Linked DNA regions of Rattus norvegicus. The protein of the gene in region 1 interacts with the protein of each later gene in a biochemical or structural test. Links are inferred from orthologs where the notes say so. Each region holds a gene or a part of one and is shown in the gene's direction. Other genes may lie near its edges. The genes, in order: Smurf1 and Axin1.

What was found.
Region 2: of the proteins of Smurf1 (region 1) and Axin1, one has a biochemical effect on the other in vitro, tested with the Homo sapiens proteins (2 studies listed by BioGRID, with this or other methods). The link is inferred for Rattus norvegicus from reciprocal best matches to the Homo sapiens genes SMURF1 and AXIN1.

The regions. Positions count from the first base shown.
Region 1 is NC_086030.1:14,835,951-14,838,636, forward strand, and holds part of Smurf1 (E3 ubiquitin-protein ligase SMURF1), read left to right. Parts: intron 1-71; coding exon of another isoform or gene 72-80; coding exon 81-156; intron 157-1,331; coding exon 1,332-1,431; 3' UTR 1,432-2,686. UniProt on the Homo sapiens protein: E3 ubiquitin-protein ligase that acts as a negative regulator of BMP signaling pathway. Mediates ubiquitination and degradation of SMAD1 and SMAD5, 2 receptor-regulated SMADs specific for the BMP pathway.
Region 2 is NC_086028.1:15,670,954-15,674,774, forward strand, and holds part of Axin1 (axin-1), read left to right. Parts: intron 1-946; 5' UTR 947-1,012; coding exon 1,013-1,905; intron 1,906-3,821. UniProt on the Homo sapiens protein: Component of the beta-catenin destruction complex required for regulating CTNNB1 levels through phosphorylation and ubiquitination, and modulating Wnt-signaling.

The DNA.
Region 1 (2,686 bases):
ATGCCTCCTGCCCAGGGCCTCCGCCCAAGGTTTGCCCCTGAGGCGCAGTGACTGGAATGTTGTCTTGTAAGGCTCTACAGGCGCGGCAGGGCCCCGGCTCTTCACCATCCACCTGATTGACGCCAACACCGACAACCTGCCCAAGGCCCACACCTGGTAAGCTCTGCCTCGGGCTGCGGGGGTGCGGGGGCAGCGGGGACGCGCGGCCTTCGAGCTGTCCTCCTCGTAACCTCAGATCGCACCCGGGGCTAAACAGGACTTGAGTCAGCAGGGCCCCCGGGCTCACTGATCTGGGAACCCAGTTTTGTTGTGATGTACAGCAGTTAAAGCTGTGGTGCCACACTTGGAGCTGTACCCTGAAGGCTCCTGGGTGTCCCTTGGTTGTGTGTCATGCATGCGTGCACTGCCAGCGGAAGAGGGCGCTGTTGTCTGTCCGATGAGAAGCTCCACATTTCCTGTCTCAGGGCTGTTACCTCCCCTCCCGGGTCCTAGTTCCCAAGGTGGTTGGGGCGCTACACGGTAGGACAGAGGCCTAAATGCTGGCTGTGACTTAATGAAGATGAGTGGTTTAAATATATCCCAACCGTTGTTCACCCCAGGACCGTATATAAGACCTCAAGGCTGCCTCAGCATGGTATGGCGCGCGTTCCTACAGAATAGGTGTGTGGGATGGAAGCCCGGCACTCGGCCCTTCACAAGGCTCCGTCCTTCAGTAACTTAGCATCTCTGATCTAGGAGGGAGGGGGGGGGGGAGAGAATGAAGAAAACAAACAACGCAGCCTTCACTCAGTCTCTAATACCAGTCCTGACCACTTTGTGCCACTGCCTTTCTGCTTATTGGCTTTTAAATTACAGCAAGACAATGGATGTGGTGTGTGTTTTTGCACACATACTTGAAAGGAGTTTCCCCTGGACATCTTGAGTGGGAAGGTTGGGACACACCCATCTTTCTAGGATTTGGCATTCTCTCACCTTCCAGACTGAGCGTGCTGTAGTGGGGATTGACTGACCCTCAGCGGGAGACCTGACGGTCACCAGTGCAGATGACAGGCAGGCCAGGGTTCTTTCCAGTGTGGAGAAATCACACCCAGACACAGAACAGCGAGCAGAAAATGGGCAGGCTTACACGTTGATCGTGTAGCTCTTGACACTTTGCTGTGGGCTGACCAGAAGAAACAGACACAGCCAACAGGAGCCTGGGTTGAAAGCTGAAGTGGGCATGCATCTTCCCAGGGGAGGTAGACAGCACATCCCACTCATGACTCACCGTCAGAGAGTCTGAAGGCCCAGAGGCTCCCAGCAGTAACTCTGGCCCCTTTGCTCCTTTTCAGCTTTAATCGGATTGACATCCCACCCTATGAGTCCTATGAGAAGCTCTATGAGAAGCTGCTGACAGCGGTAGAGGAGACCTGTGGCTTTGCCGTGGAGTGAAGAGCAGCCCGTGGCCACAGAGTCTTGCTCACAACCACCAGACCCAAAGCATATGGCGTCTGCGCGCCTCCCGCATGGCGGGCGGAGGCCTGAGATTCCAGAAACCGAGGGAAAAGGCTCGTCTCCCTCCTCCTTTGGAGAAGGCAGGCCAGGGGACTTTCATAGGTGGCTCCCACCCATTTATTCCTCCTTTATTATAGTTCGCCCACTCCTCCATCACCCATCCAATAAAACGCAGCCAGGTTTCGCCCTCAGCCTCCTTGGCATGGTGGTAAGGCTGTGGTGTCTCCGGGAGCATCAACCATGGTCAGGGCCAAGCTGGGCCCCGAGGGTTTGCGTGGCCTCTGTACCAGCTCCCCCTCTAACTGTAGCCGCAAAGCCCCCTTTCAAGTTCAGCAGCTGCCAATAGCTTACTGATCTCAAATTCCAGAGGCCTCACAGGCTTGCAGCCTGTCCAGATAGCCGGTGGATCTCCAAGCAGGAGGTAAAGGCAGTGAATGCTTGCTGGAACTCCACTATGGTAGGAGACTCGAGGCGATGTGTTTTCCCCTTTGAGAGGTAAAGGAATTGCAACAGCCTTCACTGGAAGCCTGGGTACTTTTCACAGTGTCCTGGCTAAAAATAAGGTTTTGCAGGGGAAAAAAATCTTTAAAAGTACAATTTGCTGTGTTCCCTACCCAGTTTGAAATTATCACGTCATGGAGCTAAGCAAAGAATAACCAAAACCAGCCTCTGACCCCTGGGTCCAGCTCAGTTTCTGTGCCTGGGGATCCAGAGGCTCCTAGCTGTCTTGAAATGGACTCACATATGGGGATTGCTAAGAGCTAAACTAACAGAACAATTTTGTCACCGCAGCCATTGGGTGGAACAGCAGGAGAGGCCGCTGACCTGGGGTCCCCTGATGTAGCTCCCCAGGGTTGGTGCTGTGCACAGAGCAGGGTGTGGTGGGGCGCGTGGCAACAGGGTGGGGGCTTTACCTCCCTACGTGGCCCTCTTCCCCATGGCAGCGGTGATGCTAACAGTTCTACTCAGTTTGCTTGCTCAGTCTCCGAGCAAGGCCAAAGCCAGCCTAACACGTCTAACAGCACTTCCGGTCGCACACGGCTTCACAGACGTTGACTCTTACAGCCGAGCAGCTGGACTGAGACAGCTGAGCTCTGGTGGAAGGCAGGGCAGCAGCCAGGTTTCCATTTGTAGTTTTGTTGTTTTTGTTTGTGGTGGGGGTGAGAACAGGGTAATTCATTAGCAAGACATT
Region 2 (3,821 bases), on another chromosome or scaffold:
CATAGCAGGGTCCAATCCAAATTTGAACAAATTTGCTCCCTTTTGCACACCCCACACGGCAACAAAGGTATAGGTGGTACAGTTTTCATTTGGCGGAGCTAAATCACATTTCTTGTATGCTTCTTTATTGAAAAAGCATACTTGTATTTGTAACTGATTTTTTTTTTCTGTACCTTTTCTGTCTTTCCAAAGTCACCATATGCTATCAGAAGGGAATCTTCTTGTAAGAGAGAAATTAGCAGCCAAGTACAGCTTTCTGAATCTCTAAAGTTGTCTGTGTAGACAATGCATAGATGCCTCTGAGTGTGGACTGTGTTCTTCCATCACTGGTCCAAGGTGTGCAAGGTAGCCAGCCTATGATCACTTGATCTCTTACTTGTTGAGAGCTGGAAGGACATCTTGCTGTGTGGTTGCTCATAAGGCATGCCAAGTATGAAAAATAATAGAATAGACAGAAAATAGAGACTCTGTTAAACTTGCCCTATGCCTGTCTACCTGAGGATCTGTAGTGTGCCTCTTCTTTGTTTCTGAGTGTCACTAGGGCAAGTGTGGTGATTGTCTTCATGGATGAGGGACCAACTGACTGATGTGATGCTGGTGACTGGGGACAGAGGCACCTTTTTCTAGCTTTCTTGTCCTCTTGACATTCATTTCTTTAGCCAGGATGGGTGATCTTCAGGCCTTACCACTGAAGGCATCCTTTGAAGGAGAGATGTCCCCCATGATCCAGACTTTCACTTAGTGTGAGAGGCAGTCTTGTAAAAGTTCCAGAAATTGCCTTAATGATAGAGCAAAAATTGTGGCCAAAATATGTCTCTGCTAGAAGTCTGCACTGAGTCTCTGCTCCAAGTGGGAGTGGGAGGGCATCCCTGCACATCTCAAGAGAACCTCTGGTGTTTCCATGGACCACCTTTCCTAATCCTTGTCCTCTTAATGGTTTTAACAGGAGAGATTGATTCCCTTGGGAGCTGTAAGTACTGAGGTATTAGGGTGCAGCGCTCATTGTTCACTGATGCAGAGTCCCAAAATGAATGTCCAGGAGCAGGGTTTCCCCTTGGACCTCGGAGCAAGTTTCACCGAAGATGCCCCCCGGCCCCCAGTGCCTGGAGAAGAGGGAGAACTGGTATCCACTGATTCGAGGCCTGTCAACCACAGTTTCTGCTCTGGGAAAGGTACCAGCATTAAAAGTGAGACCTCAACAGCCACCCCAAGACGTTCAGATCTGGATCTGGGATATGAGCCTGAGGGCAGTGCCTCCCCCACCCCACCATACTTGAGGTGGGCTGAGTCACTGCATTCCTTACTGGATGACCAAGATGGGATCAGCCTGTTCAGGACTTTCCTGAAGCAGGAGGGCTGTGCTGACCTGCTGGACTTCTGGTTTGCCTGCAGTGGCTTCAGAAAGCTTGAGCCTTGTGACTCAAATGAGGAAAAGAGGCTGAAGCTGGCAAGAGCCATCTACCGAAAGTACATCCTGGATAGCAATGGCATTGTGTCCAGACAAACCAAGCCAGCCACTAAGAGCTTCATAAAGGACTGCGTCATGAAGCAGCAGATCGATCCTGCCATGTTTGACCAGGCACAGACAGAAATCCAGTCCACCATGGAGGAGAACACCTACCCTTCCTTCCTTAAGTCTGACATTTATTTGGAGTACACAAGGACAGGCTCAGAAAGTCCAAAGGTCTGCAGTGACCAGAGCTCAGGGTCCGGGACAGGGAAGGGCATGTCTGGATACTTGCCCACTTTGAATGAAGATGAAGAATGGAAATGTGACCAAGATGCAGATGAGGATGATGGCCGAGACTCTGTCCCCCCCAGCAGGCTCACCCAGAAGCTGCTATTGGAGACTGCTGCCCCGAGGGCCCCCTCAAGTAGACGGTACAACGAAGGCAGAGAGCTCAGGTGAGTTCGGCACAGGGTGTCCATTTTCTCTACACAGCTCAGAGACCTGGCAAAGGAGCGAGGGAAAGGTGTTGGTAACAGGTGGCCTTGTTTTTAACCCCAGCTGAGATCTCTGCTGCTGCTGCTGCTGCTGCTGCTGCTGCTGCTGCTGAATTATAGTTTTATTTCCTACTTAGATACTTCATACTTGTTATTAGATACCTTCTTATATTTTGTGGCATTGAGAACGCAACAAACAAGACTTGCCAGGTGTAATCCCACCTACTTGGGAAGCTGAGGTAGGAGAATCGAAAAATTGTGTGTCATTCTGGGCAACTTGTAGAGATTCAAAATGAAAAAGAGTAAAGGCTTAGGAGAGTTCTTGCATAGCATGGAGGAAACTCTTTGAGTTCCCTCTTTAGTAACACGTGTACTACTAAATATAGGGCTTTGTGAATTATAAGCATATGGCTTGTGAATTATTAGAAGCGTGAGAATTCTTAGAAGCTATAATGGTTTGGTTTGTTTTTTTTTTTAAAGATTTATTTATTCATTATATATAAGTACACTGTAGTTATCTTCAAACATACCAGAAAAGGGCATCAGATCCCATTACAGATGGTTGTGAGTCACCATGTGGTTGCTGGGATTTGAACTCAGAACCTCTGGAAGAGCAATCAGTGCTCTTTTTTTTTTTTTTTTTTTGGGTTCTTTTTTTTTTTTTTTCGGAGCTGGGGACCGAACCCAGGGCCTTGCGCTTCCTAGGCAAGCGCTCTACCACTGAGCTAAATCCCCAACCCCGCAATCAGTGCTCTTAACCACTGAGCTATCTCTCTAACCCAGAAGTCATAATGTTTAAACTTTACCATTTAGCACAAAATTCATGTCTTCTTGCATAGAAGGATCTTAACCCTTAATAATGAGAGGGAAATACATTCAAATACATAGACAATTATAATTACTTTATTTTTATTTTAGATTCATTTAGTTTTTTTATGGGGATGAGTGTTTTGTATGTATGTATGTGCATATGTATGTGCACCATGTATGTGCCTGCTGCCCAGAAGGGGGTGCCAGATCCCCTGAGACTGGAGTTAACAGATGGTTGTGAGCCACCACATAGGTGCTGGTAATCAACTCATGCCCTCTATAAGAACAACAAATACTTTTAACTTTTCTTTTTCTTTCTTTTTTTTTTTTTTTTCAGAGCTGGGGACCGAACTCAGGGCCTTGCGCTTGCTAGGCAAGTGCTCTACCACTGAGCTAAATCCCCAACCCCCATACTTTTAACTTTTAACCCATCATTCCACTCCCTTCCACATCTTGCTAATTTTTTAGTCAGTACTTTGGATTCTTTCTGGAGGATGAGACAGTAGTGGGGCAGTTTAGTCTGTGTAGACAGTTGTTGGAGGGTTCAGAAACTCCTGATGGCTGTGCTTGGATTTCTAGAATTGGACCTTTTCCCTCCATGGCGTGATCTGCTGAAGGGAGTTCTGATTGTGTGTTCTGATGTATGCAACTTGAGCAGCATGATGGTGCTCTCCAGAAGAGAGCATAGCTTTGAAACTTGTTTCTTCACCTTTCTCTATAAAAAAAAAGGTATTTTTACACTTATTTGTGGTGCGTGTGTGTGGTGTGTGTGTGTGTCCATCCACCTTATATGTGGATGGGGGAGGCACTGACTTCAGGCTCAGGTGGCTAATATGTGGTAAGAGAAACTCCTTATAGGGGGCATTTTTAATCCTGTGAGTTCTGTGGATTGAATGTGGTCATTAGGCTTGGTGACAGACCCCTTTCCCTGCTGAACTGTCTTATCAGACCAAGCGTTGCTGTTTTTTAAATTCAGAATCATTGTGGTTACAGGAGGCTGGATTGGCTGGATTGGTACTTACTGCACTTATGAGCAGAGTTTGCGTTTTTTTGCTTATTTCCCTAGA